4 linked regions of the Drosophila melanogaster genome follow. The protein of the gene in region 1 interacts with the protein of each later gene in a pairwise test. Each region holds a gene or a part of one and is shown in the gene's direction. Other genes may lie near its edges.

Region 1 (7,030 bases):
GGAAGTATTTATTTTATATTCGAAGATAATATACAACGAGAAAATATTAGAATATATTTTTCTGTGTAGAAATGAGCGTGTAATTCCACTTATATTTATGAATCTTTAAAGCCCAAGCTTTCATTGAGAAATATATATGTACGTACGTACGTATAAAGTTTAGAATATAAATGGGAACCATTGACAAACAAATTTAGTAAGAACTTTTAGTGCGATTGTTTTTATGTAGAGAACTTGAATAAAATTAAATCGGAATTGGAATTGGAATTATCAGTTAATCAAATATTTAATTAGAAACCTTAGGTCAAATAGTAGGTACAATGAATTGCCAAAAATTTGGCAAATAAAAAGCACTGATAAGAATGGATTAACTTAAAAACATAACTAAGACATTTAATTATTTATTTATTCTTCAATTATAGCTGATCAAACATTGCAAAAAAAGCGGAAAAAAACTACTTTCCCAAGTTATTATTTAGCTCACCAGATATTGCAATTCCAACCCATCCCCAGTTCCCCAATACTATCGCTCCACTTTGCACAACGTTGTTGGCATACTAATAGCTGCGCCTTGTTGATTTATTACTCATGAGCTCCACTTTTGTGCAATTCCAGACGGGTGATCGTCGAGGTCTACGCCTCGGATCTGCAGATTCAGGATTTCGAGGGCAGTCCGGCGACAGCACGATACAATATCAATGCTTATGTGGCGCAGCACACAAAGAATCACATCGAGAACATCATCGCCAGCGATATTCCGCAGACCACCAGGATGATTCTGGCCAACGCATTGTACTTTAAGGCATTCTGGGAAACGGACTTTATAGAGTCAGCCACACGTCCGGATAACTTCTATCCGAATGGCGAGGGAACGGAGCCGGTGATGAGGGTGCAGATGATGGCCACCGGTGGTGCATATCCGTATCACGAGGATCACGAGCTGGGCTGCAAGATCATTGGACTGCCGTACAGGGGAAATCTGAGCACCATGTACATCATCCAGCCGTTTAAGTCGTCGGTGAGGGAGCTAATGGCACTGCAGAAACGTCTGACGGCGGATAAGATCGAGAGCATGATCAGCCGAATGTACAGACGGGCCGCTCTGGTGGCATTCCCAAAGATGCATCTTACGGAGTCGGTGAACTTGAAGACAGTCATGCAGCGAATGGGGCTGGGCGGCATCTTTAGCGCGGTGCAGAATGATCTCTCGCTCATCGCCACCAACGAGGCCACGAGGACGAATGCGCTGGGCGGCAACAGCCTGCAGAATCTGGAGGCACAGCGCAGAGCCGGAACGGGTGGAGCACGTTCCGATCTGGTGGTGGATGACATTGTTCACAAAGTGGACTTCACCGTCAACGAGCAGGGCACGGAGGCGGCGGCGTCTTCGGTCACATACCTCAAGAAATCCGGTCCCGATGTCCTCTTCCGCGGAGACACTCCATTCATGGTCCTTGTGCGCCACGATCCCACGAAACTGGTGCTCTTCTACGGACTCATAAATGAGCCCCCGGCGGCCGCTTAGTTTCTAGGATCATAAGTTATTAAGCTTTAGCACCTAAGTTCGTTGACTTTATAGTTAGGAAACTAATAAATCATTCACAATGATGAAAAATAAATTAAAACGTAAATTATGAAAATTTGTATTGGTTTTTGTTGCTGTTGAATCTTTTCACATTATCCTATGTACCGTACAGCAGGCAGATTAAACAATGCCCACAAATGTTCAAGGCGCTAAGTTTCTACAAATCATTTAAATTTAAAAAACAACCGCCAATCAACCGGTTGCGGTTAAAAGCTCTGTTAAACGGAGATGCTGATTATTAGCGGGTAACATGTTTCGTTTAACGGAACAGCTGTTCATTTAGTCGGCAGTTATCGCTTAAGCCGCATGTTATCGATATCTTCAATTATTTTGTATTCTTTTTCGCAATAAAAAGTGTATACTTTAGAAATAAAGCTTTAAATAAGTTTAAATTGATTCGAAATGATAGCCCTACCCGACACAGATAGCGAGGATGAGCTGCCACCCGGCTGGGAGGAACGTGCCACCGATGACGGCACCGTTTGCTATGTGAAGTAAGTCAAAAGTCCAGTGGAGTCGTAAACATTGTCTGATATTTTTTAATTGCACCATTTAGCCAGCAGGGAAAAACATCACAGTGGACACATCCACGTACGGGTCGCTCCAAACGGATCACGGGCGAATTACCCTTGGGCTGGGAGAAGTACTACGATGAGCAGGGAAAGCGTTTCATGTTCCTCAACAAGGAGACGCAGCAACGAACGAATGTGGATCCTCGTTTGGCATTCGCCGTGGAGGAGCCCACACAGAATGTGGCCCAGGTGCGCCAGCGATTTGACTCCTGTTCGACGGCACTGCAGGTGCTGCACGGCAAGGATTTGCATGGACGCACCGCGCTGATAACGGGCGCAAATTGTGGCATTGGCTACGAGACGGCTCGTTCGCTCGCCCATCACGGCTGTGAGATCATCTTCGCCTGCCGGAACAGATCCTCCGCAGAGGCGGCCATCGAAAGGATTGCCCAGGAGCGACCTGCAGCACGTTCCCGCTGTCGATTCGCCGCTCTCGACTTGAGCTCTTTGCGTTCAGTTCAGCGATTTGTGGAAGAAATTAAGCAGAGTGTTAGGTCAGTAGCATAGCTTTCAAAATCTAATATTATTTAATTGATAATTATATTTATATTGCAGCCACATTGATTATCTCATCCTTAATGCCGGAGTATTCGCACTGCCCTACACGAGGACCGTGGATGGTCTGGAGACCACATTCCAGGTCTCGCACCTGTCGCATTTCTACCTCACATTGCAACTGGAGACACTGTTTGACTACAAAACACGGATCATTGTGCTGTCATCCGAGTCGCACAGGTAAGTGTGAATTTGAGCACTTTAGCACGTAATTAGGGAGGGAGGGGGTAATAGAGTATACCAGTTACGAAATAATTCATATATATTCTTATGGTGTGTATAAAAGGTTACAAACTAACCGCTGAACTTAAGTTTTATATTTCGTATGAAATATCAATAGATCAATCTTAAAAATTAAGTATTCAAAAGATATATGTTAAAAAAGGTTACATGGGAAATACAAAATCAACTGGTTATATTTCGCACTATCAGTAAGGGAATTAAAAAGTTATTTACAATTCGATCGTATTGTTTCTTGTATCAATTTTACTATCAGTCACTGTCTCAATAGAAAATCGTCTCTACTTAAGTTAAATAAAATACATCGAAGCTTCAAAATATATAAATTGATGTATTATATATAATTTCTTAAACCTATTTTCTTGAATCAATTTGGCTTATTTCTTTCCTAATTAAATTTCTCAATGTCAGCACTGTTAATCTCGTTTTAATAATTATTATTTTTTTGTTTCTGTTTTTGGCCGGCAAACAGTTGTCATTATTGCAACCTGTTTGTGTGCAAAATGATTATTATCAAAATCACACGGGTATTTTAATTGAAGCTGAATTTGGTGCATGTCACATTCTAAAAATATATATATTTAATATATTTTTAATAAGGAATAAAATAAAATTATATACTTTATGTTTTAACTATCTTAATAACTTTACAATATTAATTTAATTTATTTAATGTAGTTATAAATTCAATAGCTATTTCGTATTCGACACCATCAGTTTTAAATGTGTGTCTGCCATTTCGAGTTGCCTTCTTTTATTTTTGCAAGTTGATTGCACTTTTATGATTCCGCATAGTGGACTTTGCACCCAGCGTTTTCTTTTTTTTCGCACTTTGGGGCCAAACTATTCATAGACCAAACCAGAAATAAATGCATTCCGCCTCAGCCATGCCGTCTAGTGTAATGTTTTCCAAAATGTTTGCCTATTTGCCTCAGATTTGTTTGCGTAAGATGTTTTCCGTTTGATTCGATTTCAAGGCGAAACGTAATTGAACTCAGCTTGGCATATATGAGTATATATTATTCATAGGCTTCGTTTACATATTGTGCTGCGCACTCAGAGGCAAACAAAGAAACACATAAATATAAACAATTACGAGGCCAACGCAGCTGGGTTTTTGTATTATCAAAACCAAAAACGTGCGTACAATAGAGCAATATGATCGAACTCACGTGCAGCTGTAAGCACAGTGGAGTAGAGAGCTCTGAAAATATGATTGTAATCTTTCTTTAAAAAATATCTATGAGATAAATTAACTAAACTGAAGAAAGTATTTTTGTTTTTCTTTTAAAACTAAAACACATTCAGATTAGCTACGCATATAAATCCAAGCAGAGTACTTTTTTTGTAAGATAAACTTTGAATGTTCAAAACTAGCATGCTTTAAATAGATACTATAAATGTAAAAAGTGCCCCTATAATTTTCCTTATCAGCGCTAACTCGCTTAATTAGATTGATTCATTTGTGGCCGCTCGAATGGCTCACTGTGCATGCTGTCAAAGACCAAATAAATCACTGGGTGAGCGAATCTCGTGAAGAGGCACAATACCAATTCAAACTGAACTGGATGTACATATGTATGTACATACATACTGGCTATTGGAGGTGGTTTTGTATCTGCTGCGTTCGTTGCTGTGCTCACGTACAACATTTTTTGGCTTCGCGGAGCATACATGACTATCTGCGAGTACTCCAATGTGGCGCACGAGACTTTTGTTGCACGTTCACACGGGCGAGAAAAAGATATGAATGTTGGTATGGAAGTTCGACTGGTTATCATTTTCAAACATTAAAGATTACTTACAATTAGTTATTCTTGCATCAGCTCACAAAAATTGGGTTATTCATTGTTGCATAGATAAAATATTTTTATTTAAGGTTTCTCTTTTTCAAATAATTATATTTTTGCGTGGGAAAAGTTGTCCAGACATTAAACAATTATTAATTCAATTAGAGTCTTAAGGTAAAGCAACGAGTTATTGTTCTAAAATTAAATGCCATTCAGCAGCAATTTATCTGTCTGTAGAACCTAATTAATTTACATGCAAACAGTCGAAAAGAACGCTTTTTTGCTTACCTACCACAACAAGATACAAATATACATATATAAAAAAAGAAAAAAAATGGAACGCCAACGGGTTTCATTTGTCATGGATGCCAATGGATACCCATACTTATAAATAACACTGAATTTGCATACATTTTGCGACGTTATATTTACATCGCCCCCAAGCCGAGCGCAGATATTCAATAAAATGAAAACAAATCCAAAGTCCAGAAATGTGCGCGCAGATATGTGTTTGTGTATAGAAATGTTTTCATGTTGCGGCATTCGTGGATTCGCAGGAAATGTGCGACTTGCGCATGCGCTACTGCCGAGGATTCCAGAGGCTTCCGCCGAAAACTGGAGATACATAGATACATAGATAGATAGATAGATAGATAGATAGATACATAGATAGATAGTTCGCCATAGAGTTCACTATGCATATCAGAGGGTCCTTGTTCGATTGTGGGGCTTTGTTCCGCCGGCCCCACTTGTTGACTCACGCCATTGTTCGTGGGGAGCCTTTGTGCGCCCTGCACTGCGCTAATTCTGCATCTCATTAATAAAGAGCGCTTAAAGCCGGCTATGCCAGCCGGCAATGGCAATCAAGACTCGTTTCGCGATTGTCGGCCGGCGGGGCCAAAGTCCAGTGAGTTCACTTGGACGAGAAATGTTCATGTGGGTCTCATGTACCGACAAAGAAATGCGTCGCAAATAATCTTAGTTACTAACTAACATGCAGATTTGCCAACCTGCCCGTGGAGAATCTGGCAGTGCATCACCTTTCGCCGCCGCCGGAGAAATACTGGAGCATGATGGCCTACAACAATGCCAAGCTATGCAATGTCTTGTTCGCCCAGGAGCTCGCCCAGGTGAGTCCTTAAATTGGGTCAATTGAATTCCACTTGCCAACCCTTTTTTTTTGTTTTTTTGTTGCAGCGTTGGAAGCAGCGAGGCATTTCTGTTTTTAGCCTGCATCCGGGCAATATGGTGTCCAGCGATTTGTCACGAAACTATTGGTTCTACCGCCTGCTCTTTGCCATTGTGCGTCCCTTCACCAAGTCGCTGGTGAGTTTGGCAATGAGAAGAACTCTCTGTTTTCCCTTAACTTTCACTAATTGCTTTCTGTGCCCCATATGGCAGCAACAAGCGGCTGCCACGAGTATCTACTGTGCGACGGCCAACGAGCTGACCGGATTGTCTGGACTGTACTTCAACAATTGCTTCTTCTGCGAGCCCAGCAAGTTGTCCAAAAGTGCTGCACTGCAGCAGCAACTGTGGAAGCTGAGCGAGAACCTGATTGCCGAGCTTGTGGAGCAGGAGCAGCATTAGCCAAGTCATTTGGCTACTGTTTTTTAAATATATTTATGCATTATGCTACCACCAATGATTCCATTAGGTATAATTTTACATTTTAAACCAGCTATTCATTACAAAGATATATTTTGAATTCTTTAATAGTTTCTGCCCAATAAGTGCAATGCAAATAAACTTTTGTACGTTAAGAATATCATGTATTTTCTTTTTACACTAAACAAGTATACATTTTGATTTGTTTTTAAGTCTTAATGGCTAGCATTTAAATAACAGTCTAAGTACTAGTTAAGGAACTCTTCATTTGGGCACTAGAAATCGGAGACGCGTCCCTTGCGCTCCCAGTCGCCGTAGCGTGTGGGCTCCGGCCCGGCTGGTCCGCCGATCTCGCCCGTATACGGATTGGTCTGATTGGGCCAGGGCTTGAGTGGTTCCTTCTCCTGGTACGGATGTCGCGAGAATTCATCCAGCTTGCCCAGCGGCGTTTTAGCGCGCAGCTTCTTCTGGAAGGCCATTAGCTTCTCGGTGCGCGTCTTTGGTTCCTTGATCTCGACCACCATGTCGCCACCGCTGGCGGTTGCCCGCCAAGCGCCACTCGTCGATAGATAGCTCACTGTTAATGAAAAATTGAAAGAACGTTAGCATCGCCACTCCAGCACAGTGCGCACACACACACACACACACACACACACACCTTGTTTGCCCATTTGGGGCAG
Region 2 (4,625 bases), on another chromosome or scaffold:
TAAAAAATAATTAGAAAATTAGAAAAAAAATATTATTGAAAAATATAGAAAATATACAATTGTTGTAGGCATATCACTAAAAACTATTATTTTTATACTTATTATTAAAGTTATTATATTATATTATTATTATTATTATTATACCTATTAAAAAGCAATTATTATAAATTTGCAATAAGTATTATAGTAATCAGTAAGGCGACAATCATAAAATAAAAATATGCCCTACTTGTCTCTCTGGCAACTCTGGAGGAATACCTTGCTTGTTGTCATTTGATCTATATTTAGAACCGTCTAAAATTAGTTCGAAAATAATCCTATTCGAACTAGACCGATTCTTTTGATAGATTAATTTTTGCAATTTAGGTTAAGGGATTAGTCATTCTTCCTCGGGAAGCTGGAACTCAACCTTATTGGTGTTATGTATCCAAAGATACATATATGTACGTGCGAAAATACACGTTTTATAGAATGAATATGCATGGGGCCCCAAATCTAATTTAGCGACATCCATTTGTTTTTCCATGTAGTATAGCAACCGAACCGCGCCACAAATACATACATCTGTATCCAAGTATTTGAATACAGCGAGAATTGGGTAAAATGTGTGGAGGAGGAGAGTGTGGAGGATCCACAGCAACGATTGGCCTCACCGGATTGTGCCATAAAACGTAAACATGCCCCACTTAGTTGCAGCCCAAAAATAGATTGCACCGAACCCAATTTAAATGGGTACCCTGCAAAGCCGGCATGTAACGGTTAAGCTCCCCCCTCCCATCCCCCTTACTAACATCTTACAGCCCGATTTGTAAATAAACAATTAGTTGAATATAATGCTCATTGCACGAGGGGCGTAGACATGGGCGTGGGCGTGGATCTTGGGCGAGAGCGCAATGAGAAATATGACCAAAATTAGAAACGAAAGGCATGAAGGTGCAAAGGCTGGGAAATGATAGAGATGCGATTTGACTAAGGCTGTGCGTTTGTGTGTGTGTACATATCGAAAATAGAAAATGAATTTATTACGACATGAGAAAAACACGAAAGTTATGAAAACAACGAGCCGTACGAGAAAATAGAAGCCAGCAACAAAGCGAATATATCCACCCACCCAATCCCCCACCGTAACGAACCGACCCAAAAAGTATCCAAACCGAACCGAAACATATAGCAAATATAGCAGATATAGCAGATATAGCCGATATGGCCGATATAGTGGGAGAACAGGAGAGAGAGAGAGAGCGACTCGCTGAGAATGAGCAAACGAGTGTGAGTGTGCTGGAGGCGCCTCCTTGCCTTATACGGCACTTTTTGAGACTGCAAACGATCGTGAGCAGGCAGCCGATCGTGCCCGATCCCAACCGATACGATCTCCACGCTCGATCACGCCGAACTATACTGCGCTATATGCTATATGGTATTCCTATACGTATAGCATGCCATACCATATTGTGCCTCTCGCTCGTTCGCCTTATGTTTTCCAAAGAGCCCCCTATGCTGAAGGATCTATTTTTAGGCGGATCGGCCGGTGGGCAGCATTATCGCATCCATGAGCATATTTCCTCGCTGTGTGTATTCGTTTGAGTATTTCTTTTGCCATTGGTATGGGGGCGTGGCGGGGGCGGTGGCGGCGGGGGGCATGGCGACGGCGCTTCTTGGACGAGATGGCATTTCGGCGGCGGTATAAAATCCGAGTACCAACGCGGCGATACTTTAGTCAGTCAGTTGTGTTCCAAGCCGTACACACCGTAACTCTTGATTTAATTCACCCGTGGTGCCGTAAAAAAAACAAAACTAAAACAAAATGTGTGACGATGAAGTTGCTGCTCTGGTCGTTGACAATGGTGCGTATTCCCCATCGAACGGATTATCGTCTTGGCTTTTGCTAAAAGAGAAAAAAAAGAAAGAGAAATAGACAAAGGACCCAACAGCGAAAGGATATTCCCGCATCTAGTGCTAAAGTGATCGCAAAGTGAACGATTTTCGAGTTGTGATTAACTCACGCATCCTTCGGGACACAAGCAATTAGAAATTTGAATATAACAAAAAAAATATTCCAATGCCTTGGATGATTTCGAGAAATATATATTTTAAATATTAGTTATTGAGCAATATTTTCAATTCAAGTCAAAGAATCATAAATATTCAGATAAAGAAAAGCTAAAATATTATATTTTGCACAGAATCAAAACCGATTTGCATAAGTTTTATAAAGATTTTTTGTGCCCGAATCACTTTCATAAGTTTTGATGCTTGAAAGCTTTTCAAGAGATCATGATATTAGAGAAGAGGAATATTTCAGAAATCATATATCTTCAGATATTTCTCTATACGAGAGAAGAAGACAGATCACATATTTTCATGAGAGAATTTTTCTCTCCGCCCCAAACTTTTCCAGTTTTTTCGACTTAGTCGCCAGACTTTTTCACGCTGTCCGTTAGAGCAAATGTTAGACTCCCAGTGTGGGAAACCCCACATGAAGCACTCGAGCGCCCACTAATGGACCCCTGTTCGATTGTGTTATCCTGCAGGCTCCGGCATGTGCAAGGCCGGTTTCGCCGGTGATGACGCTCCCCGTGCCGTCTTCCCCTCCATCGTCGGTCGTCCACGCCACCAGGGTGTGATGGTCGGTATGGGCCAGAAGGACTCGTACGTCGGTGATGAGGCCCAGTCCAAGCGTGGTATCCTCACCCTGAAATACCCCATCGAGCACGGTATCATCACCAACTGGGATGATATGGAGAAGATCTGGCACCACACCTTCTACAACGAGCTGCGTGTTGCCCCCGAGGAGCACCCCGTCCTGCTGACTGAGGCCCCCCTGAACCCCAAGGCTAACCGCGAGAAGATGACCCAGATCATGTTTGAGACCTTCAACTCGCCCGCCATGTACGTCGCCATCCAGGCCGTGCTCTCCCTGTACGCCTCCGGTCGTACCACCGGTATCGTTCTGGACTCCGGTGATGGTGTCTCCCACACCGTCCCCATCTATGAGGGTTATGCTCTGCCCCATGCCATCCTCCGTCTGGATCTGGCTGGTCGCGATTTGACCGACTACCTGATGAAGATCCTGACCGAGCGCGGCTACTCTTTCACCACCACCGCTGAGCGTGAAATTGTCCGTGACATCAAGGAGAAGTTGTGCTATGTTGCCCTGGACTTCGAGCAGGAGATGGCCACCGCCGCCGCCTCCACCTCCCTGGAGAAGTCGTACGAGCTTCCCGACGGACAGGTGATCACCATCGGCAACGAGCGTTTCCGTTGCCCCGAGTCCCTGTTCCAGCCTTCCTTCCTGGGAATGGAATCCTGCGGCATCCACGAGACCGTCTACAACTCCATCATGAAGTGCGATGTGGATATCCGTAAGGACCTGTACGCCAACATCGTCATGTCCGGTGGCACCACCATGTACCCCGGTATTGCCGATCGTATGCAGAAGGAGATCACCTCCCTGGCCCCATCCACCATCAAGATCAAGATCATTGCTCCCCCAGAGCGCAAATACTCCGTCTGGATCGGTGGCTCCATCCTGGCCTCTCTGTCCACCTTCCAGCAGATGTGGATCTCCAAGGAGGAGTACGACGAGTCCGGCCCTGGCATCGTCCACCGCAAGTGCTTCTAAGCAGTTGCAGTTGCCTAGCACCAACACTAGCACCACCCGGTCTACTCACCTGTCTCCTGCTCATCTGGTCCTGCTATTTGTGGTGGTTCTGGGTGTGTGGGCGGCTGGTGCTCCACCGGCAAAAACAACAAACACCACCACCATCCAACCATTTGTTTTTGAATGTCATTATTTACCAACGTGTCATCCTTGGTTCGAGAATACTCTTTTGTACTGACTGAACACAACACCATCAATCAAAATGAATTGTCAATCTAATGCCACGGACCGCGATCCCCATCCACTTGTTAATCGCTCGCGGTTTCCTTAAATGTTGATCGCCATTTGATTGTTTTACGAATGAACCGACACCCTCATGTATTTTGTACAGAACCTAACAACTTCCCCGATAGAGCGGATGGGGTCTATTGACTACGAAATGTAAAATAATCTCATGATTGTAATATTAATTAAAACAATTTATAATTATTTATAAATAAAAACGATTTTTTAGATTTAATTTTTTCTAAAAACATAGAGATTTTGGAAAAAATTGGGGGGGGGCATCTAGCCGGGAAAGCAAATCCTAGCCGAAGCTTTCCATCGATCAGTAGTTCAAGATACATACAATATATATGTACATTTATGGATCTATGTGTGATGTGTGAGCTTTTTTCACCTCCAGACGCGACGGTGCGTTTCAAATTTCCCGAATACCATACCGTAAAGCTTTCTATTCCCAAAATATTTCTGGTTTCGAAACGATTTTCGAATATTTTTAGACGCATTCCAAAATGGGTGAGGCGGCGGACAGGCGAGCGATTTTTTGTTTGTTTATGCCATGAGGAAATACGATCGGAGATGACGCAAGTCGGATGGATGATCAAAGGCGGCGGCCAAAACAAATTGCCAATGTCAATTTGTTGCCGCTCTCGGCAAACTGATTACCAGAAATGCATTTCACTTTGAGGAATAATGGATGGAATATATACATATATAGTGTATGGTGGCAATGCCAGAGACA
Region 3 (3,021 bases), on another chromosome or scaffold:
TAATTTGGATAATAATTGCTGTTTAATCGGCCGTTTATTTATGTTATCCATTATGTTATTATAATCATAACAGTTTCATTGCAGTTTGGCGGGATATTTAAAAAGATTTTGGAAAGTAGTTTAGAACGGTAAGGTAAACTTTGTGCAGCTCAAGACACAACTTTTGGGTTTATTGATTACGCATAATTTTCGGAAGTAATTCTTTTTCTTTCTTCTCACTTTCCTCCAAATGAATGAATTCCACTCGCTTTGTGTGAAAATTCTGCTTAATCAGACTTAACCCTGACACAATTTTGCCGGTTCTCACAACTTGAACTTCGTTGGGGGCCGACTAAAATGGAAGACCGAAATCTTGAAAAACTGCAAGCCAAGTAAGAAAATGGCTTATATAAAATGGATGGCGCAAAGGCAGAAGTATTCAGTGTTTCCGTAGATACCAAGATGGGTAAGCTTTGAAAGTAATATTAGCTAAAGAACACATTTCATATCGTATATATTTCATATATCAGGCGCCTTTAAAAATTCCCTGCTGCTGCTGACACTTCTGCTAGCCATCCATTTGGAGGCATCCAAGATAGTCTACAAGAAGCCGCTCTATGGCAATAGCAACATCATCAAGGACAAGCGTATAAAGACGAAGCCCGTCAAACTGGAAACCAGCACCATGAGCAGCACTGGTGTTGCAAGTAGCAGCACAACAGCCGAAGAGGATTGGCCCACGGCCGTTGAGTTTGTGATTATGACAACGCCCGCAAGCGAATTGGAAGCCAGCACGGAAACCATTGGTAACAATGGCACCACCGAAACGACCGTTGGCGAGGCACCCATCATCGGATCGTCGGAAGGATCCACACGATCGATGGAGCCAACCACCGCGAGTCCGCTGATGAGCACAAACCCATCGAGCAGCAGCAGTCTGGTTAGCACCATTCCCTTGCCACCGACAGCGGGACTGCCTGTGCAGGATAATCAGCCAGTGCCGTGCACATGCGGCGTCTTCCTCTCCTCGCAAATCCCAAATGGCTTGCCGACAAAGCCACTTATCCACCAGGAATTGGATCATATGTTTCCCTGCAATGCCATCGGTCGCAAGCAGTGTCAAACCAAATGCCTAGAGACGGTGAGTACTGGGGAAACGAGGAGGAAAAGATGAGGAGAAGCGCTCTATAACTCACCATTTCGTCCATTTTAGATCGTACAACATCTGCCGAATTCCGCAAATATAGTATGCTCCGCACTGGGTCACGATTGTCACAAGGAACGGGCCTATTTGTTCATCAAGAACTGTCACAATCAATGGGTTAATACCAATCTGCAGGCGGGCAGGGAGTACTGTTGTCGCTCTGGCGTTCCCTACCGTTGCCCATTGATGGGTTAAGCACTGTGCAAATGAAATAAATATATGATATGACAAAATTTCAACTGTATTGTAAATGCGCATGGTGTTAAAAAATCTAAAAAAAAAAGCAAAAAAAAAGCTAAGGTGTGCACATAAGGGTTAATAGATTTCAAACGGTTTGGTTCGAGTCCGGACTATATTAGTCCAACCGGTTGCGTTCTTTGCTAGAGAGTACGTATTTTTTTTTTTTAAGATAACAGTATATGCGTGGCGTTTTTAGGCTCAATACCAAACACAAGTGAACTGGCTACACTGACATTTTTGACAATAAATAAATAGTTGAATTAAGGAAATCAAAGCGAGAAATACTTTTTTTCCGGAGCCAGTAAGCTAACATTAAATAGGTACGTTCCGCAATTGTTGTAATCACTTGCAACGCCAATAACTAACCATTTTTAAAGCCCGAACAATGGTTTGCGTGCCCTGTATTATCATTCCACTGCTTCTGTACATTTGGCACAAATTTGTGCAGCCGATCCTGTTGCGCTACTGGAATCCCTGGGAGAAGAAGGACGACGATGGCAATGTGATCAAAAAGGGACCCGACTTCCCATTCGAGTGCAAGGGCGGCGTTTGCCCCTTCGTTCCGGGCGGCAAGAAGACGGAGAACGTCAGTGATGACGATGCCGAGGAATCTGAAAATCCGCCATTGAATGCAACAGCAATGGCAGCGGAAACGGAAGTGGACGAGTCCAAGAAGGAGATCTAGTCGAAATGTTCCAAATATTGTAATTTAACACATAGTACATTTTTTTTTTTTTGTTATGTTTTGACATAAGAGCGGAAAACACAACGCACACAACACAAGGACACAAATCCAACGTGGTGGGCGGCGATCGTTTGGTAAAGGAGGGGGAGGGGGCGTGGCCCTTGAAGAGCGGCAAGAACGTCTAAAGTATAATTAACTTGCAATTAAATGTACACTTTGACACGCGAAAAAACTGCTCTTTTCCTGCGGGTTTGTGTGTGTGTGTGTCAAGAGTTAAAGGTTAAAGGTTAACTCCACGCAGTTCCAATATGAAATATGGTATTTAAACTTTGTTCCAGCTGCAACAACGCAGAGCTGAAAAATTCGCCTTTATATGTTGTATATGTATATAATTAATGAAATAAACACACGGCTTTTAAAATAATTATTTAATATTTATTATTTATGTCAAAAAGTTTGCAGTTTCGTTTTGCTGTCTGGCTGTTTAAGTTAGGAAAACAAATAATTTTACAATTTACACATTAAAAACTTACACACAAAATATAGACGAAAGAAAGCAATACCGTTCAAATTAAAATTAATGCAAATCGAACGAGAAAATTCGTATTTTGCAGTTTTCTCTAAGTGTGTGCGTTTTTTTTCTTTCTGTTGCATATTTTTTGAAAATATCTTTTCATCAACTTAGATCGTAGATCGTCGAGTGTCCTTATATATATAGTAAACTTGGCTGGTTACTGTCTTTTTCGTGGTTTTTTCCTTTTTTTTCTTCTTTTCTTTCTTTCTTTCAATTAGACTTATACGTTTCCATTGGTGATTTTTGTGTAATTTTTTTTGCAAATCCTTTTGTATTTTGTATGTGTCAACTTAAATCAAACAGTTATGAGAATCTTTTTACAGTTTAGCTTAGTCAATA
Region 4 (5,487 bases), 280 kb from region 1:
AATTTGGCAGTGTTTACACACTTGCTTATTTCGGGAATCCTTGTGCTGATGACCACTTGGGTTTATGGACGCGTTCGTTTCCAGTGCGACTTGCAGTTTATGTTAGGCAAAACGATCTCAAGTTTCAAAATTTTCTTTATACGCTTTGCCACGCCCATTTTTCTGGGACTGTGTCTGGTGAGTAGTGGTTATTATTATAAAATTATTTGTATATAGTTAATGACTGATATTATTGGAATTTCTTGCAGTTTCAACTAACCTATTTATTTACGCGTGATCGCATACACGATGTCCTGATTTATGTGAGTCAGGGCTTGATTCTCCTAACGGCCATATCTTATATGGTTTACAAGGTATGTCGGACGAATGGCGATTGGCGCCAGCGATTGCAACAGTGCCTCGCACCACATGACTGGCATCCGGTGGATGCGGACAACCGGCGATTCTACGAGGAAATCATGGGCATCTCGGAGATGCTGGTTATAGATGCCAATGCCAACACCACATAGTGCCTAAATATCGAATACTCCCTAGATCAAAACTCAATACTTACAGCGTCGTCACTTGACAAATGAACTGAACTGAACTCACTTTTATTATACACCCATATGCGGTCACATTCACACATGCAAAAAATACAATAACAAACACGCACACTAGTATATAAATAAGCGGATCCATTGGCAATGGCGATTGTTAGTTGTTGTAATGAAGTTGTACTGATATTTTCCAAAAGCTAGCTATAGTGAACAATATACTGGTGATATTTAGTAGTTTCCTACTAAAATGTTCAACAAGCTTCGGCCAAAAATATTGTTATGAACTAATAAAATTTTACCTTTTAGGCATTGAAAATGTTGAAGTCTTTTTTTGAAGTTGGTAAACGTATAAGGAAAAGAGTTAAATTTATGATATACGGCTGTCAGCACTTTAAACTATTTAATGTCGCACTAATAATAATAATAATTTTGGAATTTTAGTTATAGAATATATGACGTTTAGAGTAGATTGTTAGAAGCATGTTTTTAAATGCATGCAAAATAATAATAGTTTGAAAAATATATGAGGTAATTGTATATTATTACCTAAAACTAATCGCTAATAACAAACAAACATAAGAAAAAACAAATATTAAGACATTATCAATGCGTTATTGAAATCAACAGCCAGGGCGTTATGGGGTTTACTTGCTTTTGCATTGCTGTCTGAGTTTTCCCCCAGATTTGATAACTTTGCGGCTGTCTTGTTTGTCATCCCATTTCCCGAGCACGACCATATCAGTTTCCAGTTCCAAAATCGAAATGAACTTGGCAATGCACGACGATAGGCGCACATAAGAGAGACAGGCACAGATATAAGAGCTCTAATAATCTGAATTTAAAGCAAAATAACAATAAATGCAAATTTATGGTCGAGATCGGAAATACACTTACAAAACGTGTAATAACAAATTTACAATTATTTTGATAACCGAAAGCTTGAAACTATAGATAACTCGCTTAGATATATATTTTCCTAGCATATCTTTATTTTGACAACAGATCTGTTTGAAATTAGAGGGAGGTTTCAAATGAATCTCGGTATAAAGATACCCCACTTCCATAGTAATAACTGTGTGATTAAAGACCAAGTGTGCATCGCCTAAGTTGGGGTATCTCATTCAAGAGGGATGAGCTAAACAGAGGCCTGCTGTCGGAATCGGATTCAGTTTGCCGGCATCGGTTCTACTAATTAGTCCGTCAATTTAGAGTAAAACGCTCGCGGATCGGTTGCAGAAAAAAAATATATATATACTAATATTACCTCTGCGGGAGTGTAAAATTAGATCGTAGTTATATATACTTATTTACAAAATTTGCTTAAATCCATTCTCGCCCACATTTTGGCGGTAATATTGTGGGTAGTTCAACATGGTATATGAAACATCGTATGATACCGGGCATAAACCCTTTTCCCCCGATCTGAATCGAGGAAAATGGGATAAGCCAACGGACTTTATGTTCGCCTGCTTTGGATTAGCCTTGAAGTTGGATGTCTTTGTGGCATCGTTTTGGATGTTCTTCGACATGGGCAGTAAGTAACGCAAGGGCGACTACGTATATTATATTGCTGATAAGGTTCGGATTTAGACTAATCTGTGGAGGGGCGGTGCTCTGCTAATGTTCTCTTACCTTCTCATCTGACATACATACAAAACAATGCCTAATTCTGTCGATATTTATGTATTTAATGTAATAATTGTGTCTCTTTATACAGCACAAGAGATAACAGTTTATACATCAGAATTTAATCTTTATCTTTGAATGCATTTATTTAAATACACTATTTGCTTGGACCAGTTCTTGGAATACTGCCGTACTTTGTATATATGTCCATTTACTTGGTTCCCATCATGGTCATTCACTCCTTCATGGGTCAGTTCTCCAGCAGTGGATTCATCTCCGCCTTTCGCCTGTCGCCTTTCTTTAAAGGTACGTACGTAACCGAGAAGTTTAAACAGATATTAAATATTGATCGAAATATCAATTTCAGGCATGGGATATGTGAGTGGATTTTTAACTATCTCCATGCTAATTTACTATAGCATTTTTGCTGCGGTTCCACTTCTGTTCATAATAAACTCATTTCGACCCACTTTACCTTGGAGCTGTGAGGGCTTGAGTTCTTGGCACAATGGAAGTGCAACGCTATCTAGTGTATGAAATTTGTGTATGACTAAATTGAATTGAAGACTAAGTACATTTTTTATATTTAAGTCTTGTAATAAGACACTGATCTTGGAGGACTTTTCGGAATACAACAGATCTCACCAGCTGCTCCATGTACCATCCGTGCTCTATTTTCAGTAAGTGCTCCTATTTATATAGCAATAAAACATTACCTAATTAATCCAATGCAAATATTTTAATATTATTTTAAGAATTGTTTAAAAATAATTTCTTTTTAACTCTATGTTTACAGAAATCACTATGATAGCATGCAACAGGATGCGGTTCCGGATTGGTATAAGGATTACGAGTTGTCTTGGCATTTTGTTGGCCTATTCGCAATCATTTGGGTTGTGATTGCATTTATTTTTTATAAATTCTCAGAGACGGCCAAGTTTGGAAAACTTATACGCTACATGGTGATTGTTACCCTGGTTCTTCTTTTAGTGTGCTTTGTGCGATTCCTGTTCCTTCCGGGAGCTCTTAACGGGCTCCACAGATATGTGACTCCAAAGGCAAGTGACATGGCCATGGGAGTAGTGTCCACATTCATCATGGTTCTTCATGCATTCGGAGCTGGTTGGGGCAGTGTAATAACTCTGTCCAGTTTCAACGGTTTCAAGACTGACATCATGTCGTATAGTTGGATTATTTCCTTTGGACAGATCTTCATTTATATCATGTTTGGCATGGTTTCCTTTATGCTGGAACACTACTTTAATGGTAATAGCACTTTATAGATTTGCAATATCTTTACTGTATTGAAGTTATCCCTTTCAGAACTATCCGATGTTGATGATAACGGACATGTTTTGAGCCATTGGCTGCTATATTTGTCAAGTGCTTCTGCCTTGTCCACAATGGCTTGGCCAAACCTATGGACTTTTATATACTATTCTATGCTTTTAATTGCTGCTCTAATTGTGATGGTGATGATAATCTACACAATTAATTTTTATTTTTCACGCTACTAAACTTAAATAATTTTATTTTCAGACGACGCAAATCTTCACGGTTTTGCAAAGTTTGTTTGATGAGTTCGAAGTACTTAGAGTGAGAAAACAAGAGGTGACCTTTGGGCTAATTGGAGGTATTGCACTCTGCTCCTTTTACTTTTGCACCAATGTAAGTACTTAAGTTTACACAAAAAAGATATATTATTAAGAAATATTTTAAACAATTTTCCGTTTCTAGCATGGCATTATTTTCTTTTCGGCCTTGGGTCTTGATGCCATTTTCTCACATAGTTTGCTGCACTTACTGCTCCTTTTGGTGGTTTTGTGGATCTATGGTCGCGAACGATTCCAGCGAGATATTGAGTTCATGTTGGGCCAGCCCTTTGCCTCCTGGAAGGTTTTCATACTCCGCTTTATAGCTCCAATAATTTTAGTCATTTGTCTGGTTAGTTAGTTAGTTAGTTGCTTGTTGCTTTGAATAATCATATTCTTTTAACTAACTAGCTCGCGGGAATTGCTCTGTCCATATCGGAGCACTCTTATTCCACAACAGTGGTCTTCGTGATGTCAATTGTCCTCGTGGTTTTGCCCATTCTGGCCATTCCTGGATATGGATTTTACTACCTCTACCAGAGCACGGGCACCTTTTGCGAACGCTTTAAACGCACCTGCCGACCCACCGATTGGTATCCGGTTGAGATGGAGCACCGCCAGCAGTACGAGGAAGCTGTGGACAACACGGAGATGACCCACCAACTCTTCGAGGTTACTGAGGAGGTCAACTAGTTACTGATGCACTTAGAAATGTACTAAATATAAATATATGAGTAATTTTAATGCGTATTTAAAAAAAGGTATGCATATATATACAATCATATTGTGAAAGGTGGAAATGCTACACTTATTGCACTATGCTTACAGCAATGGGTTTTACAGCGTTTATCTCACCTGAATCGATCAGGTTCACACGTGTGACTGTCCAGAGAAACGTAGATATCTCGGAAAAGTTAATAAAGTTGAGCTTAAAAAATCTGTGACGTCCACAATTATAATGCTTACATAGTTTGTCTATCGAGAGAGAGAGAGAGCTTTTAAAAACGTGTAATTATTAATGTAGTTATTGATTAATTATGGTTATAAGCAAAGTACTCTTATTGACGTCATGTTAGTGTATAGAAATGCCTTTTAATTTCAGAATGCCACTTCGGTGACTCACTACTTTTAGGAACGGTATTAGTTTCATTGAGATGTTTGTTTTAACATATCCAAATTAATATACATCATATTACATTAAATTATTAGGGATCTTCTTACTGTCTGTTTGAACTTGTTCACATTACATAGTATTACAAAGTAATACCGACTATTTATTCAAAAAATTATGCTTAACATTATTTCTTAAAAGTGTATTTGATGGCCGATCTAGTGTGAATGGTCCGGGATAGGCTATGAGCATCTCAGTCCAGTGGAATCAGCTACACTGCGGTTTATCAGCGGAATCGGATTTAGTTCGTCCGCATCGCTGCTACTAATTAGTTCGTCAATTTAAAACGCTCGCGAAATGTTTGTTGTTTGCCAAAGCTTTTAATAATAAGTACCTCCATCGGCGTGTGAAATTGGATATATTTCTTTTTATACAAAAGTTTTTCAAATTCCTTTGCTCACACAATTTACCGGGCTATACTAACGTCACAAAATGATATATGAAACATCGTATGATAGTGGGCACAAACCCTTTTCCCCCGACTTGAAGAGAGGAAAGTGGGATAAGCCCACCGACTATATATTTGCCTGCTTTGGATTAGCCCTTAAACTGGATATAT

What was found.
Region 2: the proteins of Wwox (region 1) and Act57B interact in a two-hybrid assay, tested with the Drosophila melanogaster proteins (one large-scale study listed by BioGRID).
Region 3: the proteins of Wwox (region 1) and CG18508 interact in a two-hybrid assay, tested with the Drosophila melanogaster proteins (one large-scale study listed by BioGRID).
Region 4: the proteins of Wwox (region 1) and CG13795 interact in a two-hybrid assay, tested with the Drosophila melanogaster proteins (one large-scale study listed by BioGRID).

Annotation. Positions count from the first base shown.
Region 1 is NT_033779.5:7,999,146-8,006,175, reverse strand, and holds Wwox (WW domain containing oxidoreductase), read left to right. Parts: upstream 1-1,889; 5' UTR 1,890-1,987; coding exon 1,988-2,079; intron 2,080-2,141; coding exon 2,142-2,651; intron 2,652-2,712; coding exon 2,713-2,892; intron 2,893-5,742; coding exon 5,743-5,872; intron 5,873-5,939; coding exon 5,940-6,068; intron 6,069-6,143; coding exon 6,144-6,332; 3' UTR 6,333-6,506; downstream 6,507-7,030. Other genes in the region: Spn28Dc (serpin 28Dc), read left to right, coding at 616-1,525; Sirup (Starvation-upregulated protein), read right to left, coding at 6,626-6,927, 7,009-7,030. UniProt on the Drosophila melanogaster protein: Putative oxidoreductase. May control genotoxic stress-induced cell death. May play a role in TGFB1 signaling and TGFB1-mediated cell death. May also play a role in tumor necrosis factor (TNF)-mediated cell death. May play a role in Wnt signaling.
Region 2 is NT_033778.4:20,942,313-20,946,937, forward strand, and holds Act57B (actin 57B), read left to right. Parts: upstream 1-1,708; 5' UTR 1,709-1,804; coding exon 1,805-1,844; intron 1,845-2,531; coding exon 2,532-3,622; 3' UTR 3,623-4,119; downstream 4,120-4,625. UniProt on the Drosophila melanogaster protein: Actins are highly conserved proteins that are involved in various types of cell motility and are ubiquitously expressed in all eukaryotic cells.
Region 3 is NC_004354.4:3,171,767-3,174,787, reverse strand, and holds CG18508 (uncharacterized protein), read left to right. Parts: upstream 1-1,647; 5' UTR 1,648-1,743; intron 1,744-1,800; 5' UTR 1,801-1,808; coding exon 1,809-2,108; 3' UTR 2,109-2,520; downstream 2,521-3,021. Other genes in the region: Fcp3C (follicle cell protein 3C), read left to right, coding at 394-445, 510-1,120, 1,193-1,378.
Region 4 is NT_033779.5:7,722,519-7,728,005, reverse strand, and holds CG13795 (uncharacterized protein), read left to right. Parts: upstream 1-1,707; 5' UTR 1,708-1,910; coding exon 1,911-2,073; intron 2,074-2,339; coding exon 2,340-2,471; intron 2,472-2,532; coding exon 2,533-2,696; intron 2,697-2,756; coding exon 2,757-2,845; intron 2,846-2,961; coding exon 2,962-3,431; intron 3,432-3,488; coding exon 3,489-3,637; intron 3,638-3,704; coding exon 3,705-3,833; intron 3,834-3,902; coding exon 3,903-4,109; intron 4,110-4,168; coding exon 4,169-4,450; 3' UTR 4,451-4,961; downstream 4,962-5,487. Other genes in the region: CG13796 (uncharacterized protein), read left to right, coding at 1-177, 249-509; CG13794 (uncharacterized protein), read left to right, coding at 5,361-5,487.